2 linked regions of the Kluyveromyces lactis genome follow. The protein of the gene in region 1 binds, or shares a complex with, the protein of each later gene. Links are inferred from orthologs where the notes say so. Each region holds a gene or a part of one and is shown in the gene's direction. Other genes may lie near its edges.

What was found. Proteins that work in one complex are often made in the same cells at the same time.
Region 2: VPS53 (region 1) and VPS52 share a complex: the UniProt entries of both Saccharomyces cerevisiae proteins name them as parts of the golgi-associated retrograde protein (GARP) complex. The link is inferred for Kluyveromyces lactis from reciprocal best matches to the Saccharomyces cerevisiae genes VPS53 and VPS52.

Annotation. Positions count from the first base shown.
Region 1 is NC_006040.1:791,516-801,162, forward strand, and holds VPS53 (Vps53p), read left to right. Parts: upstream 1-3,509; coding exon 3,510-5,921; downstream 5,922-9,647. Other genes in the region: KLLA0_D09328g (serine/threonine-protein kinase), read right to left, coding at 1-190; chaperonin-containing T-complex subunit CCT8, read right to left, coding at 890-2,581; KLLA0_D09416g (uncharacterized protein), read left to right, coding at 6,228-6,821; spindle checkpoint protein MAD2, read right to left, coding at 6,939-7,529; Rab geranylgeranyltransferase BET4, read left to right, coding at 7,718-7,720, 7,810-8,790; CTK2 (Ctk2p), read right to left, coding at 8,823-9,647. UniProt on the Saccharomyces cerevisiae protein: Involved in retrograde transport from early and late endosomes to late Golgi by linking the vesicle through the t-SNARE TGL1 to the Golgi, leading to the membrane fusion between late Golgi and endosomal vesicles.
Region 2 is NC_006039.1:335,606-340,902, reverse strand, and holds VPS52 (Vps52p), read left to right. Parts: upstream 1-1,567; coding exon 1,568-3,352; downstream 3,353-5,297. Other genes in the region: RFC4 (replication factor C subunit 4), read left to right, coding at 296-1,258; HMI1 (ATP-dependent 3'-5' DNA helicase), read left to right, coding at 3,614-5,297. UniProt on the Saccharomyces cerevisiae protein: Involved in retrograde transport from early and late endosomes to late Golgi by linking the vesicle through the t-SNARE TGL1 to the Golgi, leading to the membrane fusion between late Golgi and endosomal vesicles.

The DNA of each region.
Region 1 (9,647 bases):
GTCGTTGCCTTTGTTTCTCCAACAACAAATCTAGAGAGTCTGTTGACGAAGTATTGGACATGGGGAACTCTTCTCGATGCATCGAGCCAAAAATACTGCTTTTTCGTCTGGGATTAGCAGGTTTGTGCATTTTACTTTCATCCATTAGTTGCCAACGAATATCTGGCGGCAGATCAATTTCTTCCACCATAACTTGATGAATTGCCAAATCAAATCAGCTTATTGAAAGTACTGATCTAATAACGGGATAGATACTGACTACCCACAGAAGGAATACGATTTATATTCAGTTGAGTCCCAACTGTAATAATCGACTATTATTATTATTATTATTATAATAAAAAAAATTAAGGATCAGGTCAAAAAAATCAGTACCGACTCTTTTAGCTTTGTCTTATATCTAAGCAATACGCCCGGATAAGCACTTTGTTCCTCAATCGATATACTTGTTAATTTCTGGTTCTCCTATTCTTTCTCGGGTCCAGACCCGCATCGTATATTTTTCTTTCGCTAATCGCTAACGTAGCTTCAAATCGTTGAAAAGTTTTGGTTTTTGTCCTTAAAAGTTGTCATCGATATTTCTGTGAAAAGGAACAGTAATTTTGGAAAAATGGAATCAGAACTGTGTGAAAAATAATTTAATTTTACATTGACACATATATGGAAAGGATGGTAAGATATATAATTAATATCACGTGATTTAGAGGATGTCTAAGAGCAACCATAAGAATGAAATATATAATGATATGCGGTATTGATACCGTTTTCAAGACAGTTACAGGTATAGCTGTGAGTATTAAAATTATATCTGAATTTTTTATTTGTGGTAGGGGAATTAGTGTACAGAAGAGAGAACAATTATGCGCTTCCAAGAGGACAGATGTTCGAATCAATCATCTTGGTCCCAGTTACCTGGTTTTGGACCCTTTGGTACGGCTGGACCACCAGCTCTCTTGGCCATGATGATCTGGTCAACTGAAAGTACTGTCTTCGCAGCCTCTGTGGCGACATCGATAGCGAACTTCTTAGCAGCTAGTAAATCATAAATGCCTTCATCTCTGATATCTTTGATGCATTCCGGGGTATTGTTGTCTATATCAATACCTTGGTACAAACCATCGTTGATTTCGTTTGACGCAGTTTTTTGAGAGTGGGCAGCATATAAGTTTGGTAGTACTTCATTAACGTTTAGACCTGCAGTTTCTGCCAACGTTCTTGGTACCACTTCGAATGCAACGGCAAACTGTTTGATGGCAAGTTGCATTAGACCTGGCGTCTTTTCACCATAGTTGCTGATTCTTGATACCAACTCTATTTCAGTAGCACCGGCACCTGGAACAAGTTTTCCACCATCCTGTTTCATTAAACCCTTAATTGCATTGACACCGTCATCAATGGCACGTTCGATATCGTCCAAGTTATTTTGCGTAGCACCTCTTAAGATGATTGTGGCAGTCCTAGTGTTTTCGTTCTCCTCTTGTTTGAAAATGGTAACTCTATCACCACCAATTTCTTTCGTCTTTACGGTCTCAACAATACCAATTTCTTCTGGAGTTGGGGCACCTAGCCTTGGCATTGGTGTAGCACCACACACACGGCAAATTCTTCTAAGTTCGAATTTACTTGGCACCTTTAGGACGAGAATATTGTATCTGTTCAAATAATGTAAAGCAAGCTCACCAACACCGGCACCAGCAACAACACATCTAACACCAGTCTCGGCAATTTCTTTCATCATTTGGTCCAGTTGTTGTTCTTCACCTTTAGTGAAATCTAACATCTCCTGAGCATTATGTAAAAGCACAGTACCCTTGGTTTCGGTGTTTGAGATATCAATTGGACATGTAAACACAGCAACCTTATGCTTTTCACCTTGAGGCAAGGACTTCAAATGTCCTTCTGGTTCGCGGTTGAAGACTAAACCCTTGATAACAGATGAGTTGGTAAGGGAACCACCCATAATCTTTACCACTCTAATTGAGTCGACATTGAAATAGTTGGAATTTGGTAGCAAGACATGTGCCACAGCGTCTGATACTAAGGAACTTAAAATATCTTCAGAACCATATTGCTTGGATGCAATGACTGGCTTGATGACCTTGATTAACTCACTTTTTTCATGTTTGTTCTTGATATCCAACACAGACATCTTGTCAAGTTCTGCCAAAGTAAAATTCTTTGCCATTGTGTAACCTTGAATAATTTCTACAGGTGAAAGACCTAGCGCAATAAGCTTTTCACTAACATTCAAAAGCTCACCAGCCAACACCATAACAAGGTTAGTACCATCACCCATATCAATTTTTTGTTGTTCAGATGCCATCACCAACACTTTAACAGCAGGATGGACAATCTCTAATTCCCTTAGCATGGTAGCAGCATCGTTGGTCACAATGTGCTTTCCCAAATGATTAATGATGATCTTGTTTCTGCCGCATGGCCCCATAGAAGTTAAACACATCTGGTGAATCTCTCTAATGGCAGCGATCGATTTATTGATTTGACCATCAGCATTAGAGTACGAATTGTACCCTTGCTTGAACAATCCCGCATTAGGATTTTGAGGAAGTTTCAAAGACATGCTGCTTTTCAAGGATTTGTGAATTATCTGCTTTCCTTCCAAGGTATAGCTTTTCCACGTACAAGTTTCGTCTTCGCCACCTTTGTTCACGCACTGTTTTCTATATTTCAACTATGTTGTTAAAAGATACTTTAGCATTTTTTTTTTTCAGTATTGAGAGATATGCAGAAAATATGGGAATGCTTTAGCCAATAGTTACTAGGGACAAAGTGTCTGAATAAGGCATGTGTACATGTGTGTTTCTGGAGATCTGAAAGTACTATCATCTTACTCTAAAGAATAGGTATGTAGCTGGGTGATGGATGCATCCACGTCAACATCCTAGGAATAATCATAGCAGAATAGAGTTATGTATCTTAAAACTTCGCTGATCCTGGCAAATCAAACCATTTCAATATATAGCTCAGGAAGGCACTTACTCTGTTGTTCTGCCATATGCAAAACATATGTTTGTAAGAGCAGCATCGTTGGCTACACACTGTAACTCGTTGAGCAATAATATATTATGCAGTGCGAAGATTACATCGTTCTGGTATATGTACAGTGTCAATGAAGCTACTCAAAGGAATTGCTTCAGTAGCTCAGTCGGAAGAGCGTCAGTCTCATAATCTGAAGGTCGAGAGTTCGAACCTCCCCTGGAGCATTATTTTTTTCATAGTTAAAGGGTTTGGAACTGTCAATTCACCTTTTAAAGACTTTGTATTTTTTTTCGATATTTCTGATATCAGACTTTCATAGTAATTATTGCATACAGAAACAAATATAACAAGAACCTTTGTTGTATCATCAGTAAATGACAAAAAGAGCCAGCAATTGTAAGTTGCAGAGGTATAATTCTCCCTTCTCTATCCAGCTCCTCCCCATTATTGTTTCCTGTATTAGTATCACGCACATTAATTTGAATTGAATAACTAGAACTTAACAAGTAATGATTTCAGAATCTTTGGAATACGATCCCTTACACGATCTTCAACAGATATTCTCGAAGCAGGAATCTTTATCAGATATTGATAACCTAGTGCTATTAACCGAAAAATGTAAATTTAATTTAGAGGAGCGGGTACGAGAAAGCAATAACACCAGTTCAGAAGTCAATAGTTTAGAAGACAATTATGATTTCCACAAGTTGTTTGAGAAGATAAATTCAACGAAGTCTCTGTCACAGATTACTGAAGCAACCATATCCGACTTGACACATGATATTTCAGATTTGGATAACGCTAAGAGGAATATAACGAGATCGATGACGTGCTTTGAAAATTTGAAGATCTTGAGTGATGCATACGTGAACTCTAAAAAGTACATGCAAGCTGAAAAATACATTGAAATGTGCGGCCCCTTTAAAGTTATGCATTCCTTATCTGTATCTTTCCACGAATATAAATCTTTGGATGAGTTTTGTAAGTTTCTAAATCAAATTCATCGTTTAGAGAGTGATACACTATTGGTGTGTGAGAGAGTAACGAAAGAAGTGCTTAGGGATGGGTCTAACAGTAAATATGACAGCAAAACGATGAAAGACGGTATATGTTGCCTTGCGGACACTAATAAGCATTATAAAGAAAGGATTGTGCAATTGTGTTTGGATTCTCTATTGTATGAAATTAAAGAAATCTTCCAAATTGATGATGAAGCTGGTTCTTTGGAGAATTTGTCTAGACGTTACATCTTCTTCAAAAAAGTATTAAATAATTTCCAGTCTACTTTCAGCGAATATTTCCCATCAGAATGGGAGATACCTTTGAAACTAACGGATTCTTTCTTCACAATGACGTCTAACGATTTGAAAACATTATTGAAGAGAGATTTGTCCGGTACCACCTCCATTGACCTATTCATGCAATCGTTACAAACTACCTTAGAGTTTGAAAAATACATATCAGTGAAGTTTTCCCATATATACGAGGGTAAAATATCCACTTGCTTTGAGCCATATTTGAAATTATGGGTTAGACACCAAGATTCATCTTTGAACGCCAAGATGTTGACATATCTTAATGAGACCAAGCTCCCAGCTAAAAATGAATCGCTTGTCGTTCCATCCAGTGCAGACTTGTTTAGAACTTATAGACACATTCTTTCTCAAACTTTCAGCTTGATAGAAGGCGGTAATAAATCGACCATAATGGTGGAATTGGCGGTTTTCTTCGTCAAATGGTTGAATGAATATTATGAAAAGATTTTGAAACCATTGTTGTTACCTGAGGATACACAAATCGATGATAAGAATGAAGTAGTGAAATATACCGTTCTTCTTGTCAATACAGCAGACTATTGCGCAAATACAATTGATCAATTGCAAGATAAACTCTGTGAATATCTTGAGAATGATGAGCCAAATATCAACAAAGTTGCAGCCATTTTTGAACCTACAAGGCAAAAATACATGGATCTCGTATCGGGTGGTATCAATTTACTACTAAATCGCATCCTGAAGAAAGATTTGGAATTTGTATGGAGGGAGTTCACAAACACAAATTGGGCTAATACAATGGTGGAAGATTACAGCAGATATGTGACTACCTTACAGAGTATCCTCCTACCAACAAGATCGGAAAATTCAACATTTTACTCCACTGTTTCTCAATTCAATAGAGATCTTTATGGTTGGAATTTTATTGATAAAACTATTGATTTAATAGCTATCTCTTTTGAATCTCAAATTATAAAGCTCTTGAAACCAGCTTTACCATATGGCACTCTTAATTCGAAAAGACAGTTCGATGTGAAGCAAGTGATAAATATCGCAGAACAATTATTGTTAGACGTTCAACTATTGAAGACAACGTTGCATTCACTTCCGGAAAGTTTACCGCAACATGACACATCAGCTAAAAGAGTCACGAAACACATAGATAGTAATGTGGAAAAACTAATGCATCTTTTAAAGTTACTTGTCTCTCCTATTGACCCTGATACAACATACTTGGAAACCTATTATGCAATAACCGCAAGTCAGAATACAAACTCAAATTTCTGGGCATTTATACTAGCGCTAAAAGGTGTACCTTGGGATTTGGCACTTTGGAAAAGAGTATGGTCAGAATTTCAACAATCAGATGATGATACTCAACCGATGAAACCAGATGACCTTATTTTCAACCCTAGAGAACTACAAAACTTTATTTACAATCTATCGAGGGTATCAGATCCATCATGGAAAACATTTTTGGAGGAAGACCTCAAGATTAAACCTGTTCCACGTCCTGATTTATCCGTAGCTATACAGTCCTCCCCTAGTCCACCCACTGGGTCTCCATCCCCTAAGATTCCTGGACATAAATTGAATGAGATAAAAAACCTTATGTCAAACTCCAGTTTTTTTTTCAAGAAGGGCTAACTGCTTCTGTAGAGAAGCTTCCACACGCAGTTTGACCAACGAAACAGCAACACTACTTGTAATACTACCTTTACCTCTGTAGCAGATTTATCAGTTTAAATAGGCTTTTTTTAACATTTTCGAGGCATGTCAATGCGTCAAGTCAAAATGACACAGAAAACTCGAAGATATTATTTACTTATGAATATTAAGATATATCAGTTAACCTGAGCACTTACAATATATCTGATTATATGACAAAATGTGCCGCACAAGTTGGTTCGGCTATCGACTTTATTTTGAAATCAGACCTGGTATCCTCATGCAATGATTCCATTCTTCTACATAATGATTTTTTTCACTATAGCTGAAAGCACGCTTACAGATGCTGAGTTTAAGGAAATTGATATGTTTATAGATGTTGTTGGTGAATCACATTTTGCTCTGATGTTTCCTGTGGAATTGATCAGAACCGATTTGAATGATACGTTTGACCCAAAACAAGTTTACGATATTTTTGATGAATTAGCTGAAGAGCGCAAAGAGTTTCAAATAGTAAAAGAACTTGATATACCTGAGTTTGTGGCCGAACCGCTTTATGATAGGCTGACATATCTCTCAGTCAAATTGGATAATGGATACACCGTAAATCTAGCAAATGAAATAGCAATAATTCAGGATATAATCCAAATAGCAGCAGAGTCAGACAACATTAAACTCGATTTTACTGCTCTTCTTAGAGTTAAAGAAGAGTTGAGGGTTGATATGGCAGCCGTGTCAAAATTAAAGTTGTTCAAAACGTGCTTATTGTCCAACCTTTTCCCATTTATGCAGGAAGAATGCGAAGGACTCTTAAGACAAAAGCTAATTGAACATCTCAAGATTTGGATAGAAGTTTGGAAAAGACACCAAGATGATTGAATTAGTATGAGCTTTCTCGAGTTGAATTAAGTATTATGTGCCTTTTCTACTATATCTTGTTCCTATTTGTAGCATAAGTATTAAAAGGAAATGCAATAAGTTCAGCCATTAATTTTGTTAGAACTTATAAGTGACTTCAGCTCCCACTGAATAGGCCGATGTACCGAAAGACTTGAATTGCACAGATTCCCCCTTCGCTATTTCTTTTGAATCAGAATCTGTCCATTCTAGTGGAACATTCGCATTACTATCAGTATAGGCCAAAACATTGAAAGTATAGTTACCTTCATTTTTCAATTCGGGCAAGAAAGTGACACTGGCTGTTATCTGTCTAAGTACTGCCCGAATCTCCTTTTGGGTTTCCTCTAATGGAATGTTCATATCATCATCAGTATCGTTCTTGTTGCTGTGAGAATCTACGTTAAACTTCCATCTTTCAATTGTTTCACCATCATCCTTATCTACTATACACAGAACAAGCTGGTGACATTTACCTCCCAATAACCACCTATGAACCTGCCGGAGAATTTCCCGTATGTATTGTTTAAGTTCTGTATCTTGTGTTTTTAATAAGCTCAAATCATACTTCTTAACTGTAGCGAAGTCTTCTGCCGGGTATACTGCTCGTTGATATAATATTGAATTTATACTATATTCAAAGAACTCAGTAACAATTCGTGTCGAACCTTTTAATGATATCAAATCCATGTTTCCAATTTTACTTTCCAGTCTCTTCTGAATCCTTGTTCGTCGAAGCAAGTTCAAAAAACATATGTTATTGAGCTCATTTTAAACTACTATTTTTTATAATTAACATTCAAACTTATAAGTTATGATTATGATGAACAGCAAATCAGAACGTTAAACTCAATTCCACAGAGACTCGAGGACAAATAATGGTATGGCAGACCTCGGCACTCTTTTCAAAGAAGATTCTCATAATATACAATTGCAGATTACTAACATTTACAAATTGAAATGAATTCAGCATGGTGTTACACGAAGAGAGTGGACAAAGGAGTTATTAAGGAAGAAGCGCGAGAAGGAGAGACAGGAAATCCTCGATTATCGAGAATTATCAGATGAGGTTTTAGAATTGAAGAATAAAAGAGTAGCAAACAAGGACTCTCTTCTGAAGACTACCCAGTTACTTAATATCAATCCAGAATTCAACACCATCTGGAATTATAGACGTGAAATTATAAAACTACTTGCCCCATCACTGGATCAAACTTTCTGGGATGGGGAACTTGCTTTCACTATGGACAAATTGAAGGTTCGTCCAAAAGTATACTGGATATGGAATCACAGGGTTTGGTGTTTAGAGCATTATCCTAATTCTCCCTTGAAAATCTGGTTGAAAGAATTAGCCATTGTTGGCAAATTACTGGAAATGGATGCGAGAAATTTCCATGGATGGCATTACAGAAGATACATCGTAAGCACAGTAGAACGCTTAAGCGGAAACTGTCTAAATTCACAAGAGTTTGAATACACAACCGCGAAAATAAATCAAAATATCTCTAACTTTAGCGCGTGGTTCCAACGAACGAATATAATTGAACATATGCTGGCGAGAGATCAAATAGCTGACAAAGAGTCCTTCATCGACGATGAATTTCAGTACATAAAGAATGCCATGTTCACTGATGCTGAAGATCAATCTGTCTGGACGTATCTGATCTGGTTTATTAAAGAGAGTGCACTAAAAGAGCATATGACGTCAGAAAAGTATAGCAGTATGCTAAAAGAACTAACCGAGATCATTGAACTTATAAACGATGATGATATTAGTTTCTCTGGAAAGGATAATATTTGGTGTCTAAAGACACTACTTGTGATTGAGTTCATTCAAAAAGATATCCTCAAGGAAGATATAAAATCAAAATCTAGAGAATATCTTGATAAGTTGATAATTATCGATCCCTTGAGGAAAAATAGGTATTTATACCAAATAAGAGCTCTATGAAATGATTGTATTATTACATGAATATGAAGATCTCATTCAACCTCACTGATAGATCTTTTTTTGGTAGATATCGATTCTTCTTGAAGAGAGTTCTGGTTCAAAACATATCTTCTTTCTTTCACAGCAAAGTTCCGTTCCTTTGACACGTAATCGTCTTTATCTAATGCTATTGGATCAACCTTTAGTCCCTGCTCAGGGCCAGCGGTCTTTTTTATTTCAATGAATGTTTCAATCTTTAGGTTTAAAGATTTGACAGTTTCATGGTCTTTTAAATCACATGCATCGAAGACATTGATATAAAAATTTAGAATATCGAAATACGCTTCATGAAAAGAAGCCGCATCCGTTTCAAATAAATTATATCGAACATTGGGCCATTTTGTTTCATTAAGTAGTTCACATGCAAGTTTCAATACCGCCAATGCTATGGTATGAGGTGGGACGGTAATGAGCAATTCGAGTTTTAATACATCGAAGGCTATAAGCCATGCCAGTCGACAACAGCTGTAAGGTAATGAGAGTTCACGGCCAATTTTGACTATAAACTCATCTATGTGCACTTCGTTGTTGACTCTGTAATCAAAGGAGCAAGTTTCTAATACTCGTAGCTCCATTTGCATCACTCTCTTTTTAAAAGCATCAACCATATCCGGCGTTACACGAGGTACATTACGAATCTTTAATGCCGTACTGCACACCTCCCCTAATCTCTTAAACGTTTCAACCTGTTTACAACTTAAAAATAAACAACTCGTTCCAACATCATAACACATTTCGGTCTCGAATTTATTGAATGCATGATATCTGTGATAAAAGTACATTGTCGCTTCCAAAACTTTCCTTGGTAATTTGAGGTG
Region 2 (5,297 bases), on another chromosome or scaffold:
CAATCCCGAGAGCGTGACACCATATTAACGTGCCAAAATTGATACTAGTAAGTATGTCCAAGCGCCTGATTGTACTTCTTCTCTTCTTGTTTTTTTTTTGGTTTATCAACATGTATTTATATCTAAATCTTTGAAACTTTGAAATGTAGAGAGCATTTAATTCACAGAGCCAAATGAAAATAATGGTTCTGTCGAGGTTGAAAAGAAAATACATAACTCTGGGTCACTATCAATTGACCGATTAATAACTATAACAGGGGGTTCAGATCAGTTCTTAGAAGATTGATTTTGAAAGATGTCCTACGCTACCAAGTTGGAATTACCATGGGTTGAAAAATACAGACCGCATTTATTGAAAGATATTGTAGGGAATGAGGATACGGTGCAACGGCTACAAACCATCGCTGCTGATGGTAATATGCCTCACATGATTATCAGTGGCCTACCAGGTATTGGTAAAACAACTTCGATACACTGTTTGGCACATGAGCTATTAGGTGATGCGTATTCACAGGCTGTATTGGAGTTGAATGCGTCTGATGACAGAGGTATCGAAGTCGTCAGAAATCAGATAAAGCATTTTGCCCAAAAGAAGTGCACGCTACCAGCAGGTAAGCATAAGATTATCATTTTGGATGAGGCAGATTCAATGACCAGTGGTGCTCAGCAGGCTTTGAGAAGAACAATGGAGTTATACTCTAATACGACGAGATTTGCTTTTGCATGTAACCAATCTAATAAGATAATTGAACCTTTACAATCTCGTTGTGCAATACTACGTTACTCGAAACTAACTGATGAACAGGTTCTCAAAAGATTATTGGAAATTATAAAGCTGGAAGATGTTCAATACACGAATGATGGTCTCGAAGCTATTATCTTCACTGCCGAAGGTGACATGAGACAGGCAATAAACAATTTACAAAGTACAGTTGCTGGTTTCGGTTTAGTAAATGGGGAGAACGTTTTCCAAATTGTTGATTCCCCGCATCCACTAATAGTCAAGAGAATGCTATTATCTGGATCTCTCGATGAATCGCTGCAATATTTAAAAGAACTTTGGGTTAAAGGCTACTCTGCGGTAGATATAGTGATAACTTGTTTCAGAGTAATGAAAAATCTCGATGAAGTTAAGGAAACGGTTAGATTGGAGATGATCAAGGAAATCGGCTTTACACATATGAGAATTCTTGAAGGTGTCGGGACTCATCTTCAACTATCAGGTATGTTAGCTAAAATTCAAAAGCTTAAATCGTAAATAGACTATTACCACATAATTAACATCCAAAAAGTAATCATAATGATTGTAAATATTTAAATGACCCAAAGTTTTCAAGCTTGGGGACCTATAGAAAGCATATAATTAAACTACTCCCCCGTTCGCTCACCGTCAGCATTTCGTTTTCCTGATGTGTGTGTGTATTACAACTTTCAGAAAAAATACGAAAAGCCTGAAATATATCAAAAAGAACATCGACTACACCGCAAAGAATACAGTTGGAAAAGAAAGATACTTCAAATTGTATTACACTCTGTTCGTGACAGAAAACCATATATTGAAATTATAATGGATGTTTTAAGCGATCTGTTAGAATTAGATGCAACTGAACTTCAACTGCCAGAGGATTCTCCATCAGGTAAAGATGATAACATTGATACTTACCGAGCCTACGTTGACTCGACCCTAAAAAAAGAATATCAATTACATACTGAATTCCTCAAGGAATTTGATGATCTCATGGAAAAGAACCAATCAATACGTACCTCTACTGAGACACTTATACCGAGTTTGAAAAATTACTTTGCCGAATTTAACAACAAGTTGAACGATTTGACTAAAGATCTCGATTTCGTTAAGGGTAAATTTTCTGAGTTTTCATCGTTACTGAAGAGTAACTCTTCGAAGTTGAAAGACATAAGTCCCATCGTTAATGATTTGATAATCTCTCCTGAAATAATATATCAAGTGTTAAGAGGCAAGATTGATCAAAAATGGATTGATTGTATTGATTATTTGAACGATAAACAAGAGATATTCCTGAAGTATCAAGAAGAAAATAAATCAGAGAGACCAAATGATTTCGAACAGTTGAATGAAATCTTACAAATACTAAAGGCAGTTTCTGCAGAAAGAGCTAAAAAATATATTGTGATAAGAATTAAGAGACTGAGGGACGGACATCCTGTGCCAGCGCAAAGAATTCAAGAGGAACTACTTCAGGTCAGAGAAATCTATCAAATGATCTACAATACCAAGTCGGACATAGCTACAGAATTACGAGAAGCATATATTAATACGATGAAATGGTATTATAAGACATATTTTGCAAGATATATTAGATCTTTGACAATTTTACAGTACGTCCAGATAGATTCTCAATACGCATTAGGACAAGGTCTTTCAAATACATCGGTTTCAGGATCTTATTCTAATTATCTTTATGCCAGTGGAAGAACGCTCTTTGGCGCACAAACTGCTTCCCACTTTAATGTCACTGATGACAGCATTAACGACTATTTCCAAATATCAAAACGGTTGGATCTTATCACGCAAGAAGATAGGACAGTTATGGTATCGCAAATTGCAGAGAATAATCCAATTGCCAATTACATCGAAGTTGGATTTAAAAATTTAAACTTGGCATTATTAGATAATTGCACTGCAGAATTTATGTTTTTGAATGAATTCTTCAGATTACCAACTGATAAAGGTGATCTAATACGAACCATTCTTCTGGATATCTTCCAGCCAACTTTTGATAATGCTATGGACTTCACGCATCAATTAATTGATACATCATTCGATATATTTGGTGTCTTAATCAGCATTAGAGTTGCACATAGACTACAATTCGAAGCGCAACATCGTCAAATCCCGTGCATTGATGATTATCTTGATGGTCAGTTGATTCTTCTATGGCCAAAATTTCAGAAACTTGTGGATTTCCAGTGTGAACAATTAAGATCTGTTTCAATAACAACCAACGTTGCCCGTGTTAGAGGTGCTGGAACCGCTTCAGACCCGTTAGTAACGCCTCACGAACTCACGGTACAGTTTTCCAAATTTCTTCTCAGTTTATTGAAACTATCGTTAACCCACAAGGAACTTTTAGATGAAAGGGCAGAACCGTTGTTCCACTCGATAAATAGAATTCGTGATGATTTCGAAACAATAATGACAAAATGCAGCAAAAAGACTAAAAACGCTGATAATTTCCTAACCACAAATTATATGTATATCTACAACGCCCTTCAACAATCGTTCCTCAGAACAGATTCTGAAAAGGAACCACTCATCCTCTCACAAACGAAAACTCATCTTTCACAGCTACTAGAAGCATATAGTAAGTAAATATATATATATATATGTATACGAACAACCATTACAGTATCTCGTTACGAATAACACATTCAATCTTCGATTTATTTAGTTGTGCCGTTTCTCGTTTATTTTAAAAACGTCAATAAACATAAACAGTTTCTACTTTATTTTCGGTTCCATATATATGCTAATTTGAGATGACCGAAACAGAATAGCTATATGAACGTCGAGTGACGAGGAAATCCATTGGGCTGATCCACTCAACATAGAGTGTAGTCTGTGGTCAATCGTATGATGAAAAGGCCAACTGATTCGCAGAATGAAATTATCCAATTCCCTTATATACCTGCTAGCACTCTGAAAGTTATTGCAGGACCCGGTTCAGGTAAGACATATACATTGCTATGCAAAGTTCGAGAGTTGATCCAAACGGGGCAGGTGAAACCCCGTGAAATTATTATTCTATCTTTGACTAATAAAGCAGTTGATAATATTACAGATAATCTTCTAGGCGTCTTTCAGGAATTAAGCGATAAACCGTACACTGACCATGAAGTTGATGACATTGTTTCCCAAATTGGTATTTACACGATCCATGGCCTCTCGAACAGGATAGTTACTGAAAATATGGGTATTGTGAACATAATCGAGGAAAACGGTTGGAGAGGTCTAGTCAAGCTCATTCCAAAAGATTTTTGGAATAAGAGAAATGTTAATACTGCTAATGACCGGATCATTACGAAGAAGCTTCAGAAACTTATAAATGAATACCAAATTGACACAGATAATATTGATGAGACCATTGAAAAAGTAACAAAGTTAATGAAGCATTCAAATGTTTTGACTAACGATGATTTAATCAAAATGGCTGTGGAATTCTTAAAAGAGCCGAATTCAGAAGAGGATACTGCATTCACCAAATTTGTACTAAATGAAGCCAAAGTTTTAATTATTGACGAATTCCAAGACTTATATCCAGGTATATTTAAACTATTAAAGACATTACTTGGTCAAAAACACTTTTTAATATTTGGAGATATCAATCAAAGCATTTATGAGTTTTTGGGAAGTAACAAAGAAGTCATGTCTGAATTGGACAGGTTAAGACCTGATGATAAAAAATTCACTAAGTACATCCATGACAATTTCCGTAGTACACCAGAAATAACTGCTGCAGCCAATGCTGTTATAAACCAAACCGTTCCTGTTCAGATTAAAAGAGAAAATATAGTAGAAAAACATCCTTCCGGAGTTTACCCCATCAAATACAATTGCGAAGAATTAATAGATGAATTGGACTTCATTGTGAGTGAAATATGTCAGCTAGTTTGTTCTTCTGCAAAACTATCTGACATTGGCATTTTAGCAAGGACCAATTCTCATTCAAAGGCGATTGCTGACCACCTTTCAACATTCGGAATTCCCGTTTCAAAATTAACAACGCAGCCAGATTGGATGTCAGATCAGCGGATAAGATTCATGATTGATTTACTTCAAGTCGCTGTTTCGGTCATAGAAGAAGCTACACTGCCTAAAGACGCGTCTTTCACCATGAAAACTAAAAGTAATTTCAGTGTTATTGTTACTTTAGCAGCTTTAAAAGGATTTGGTAGTAACACCCTTCAGAAATTACATGAAAATGCCACAGCCACAGGTGCATCAATCTGGCATTTTCTAACAAATACACCTGTTTCAAAGTGGGGGTTTACTCCGGCAGTTACAAAAAAACTCGAAAACTACTTGCTAGCAGTATCAACATTAATCAACGATCCTCCTATTTTGGAAGTTGAACAGCCGCACATCTTAATAGATAACTGCTCATCTGTGATTTCAAAGTTAGATCTACCGTTATTCATGTGTGACAGTAACTCTGAATCAGGAAGTTTCCAAGTAAACTTGAAAGAATTCTATTCTGCTATAAAATTGTCGCTATTATCTAAACCGCAAGATCTTCCTACCGCGACTTGGTTTTTAG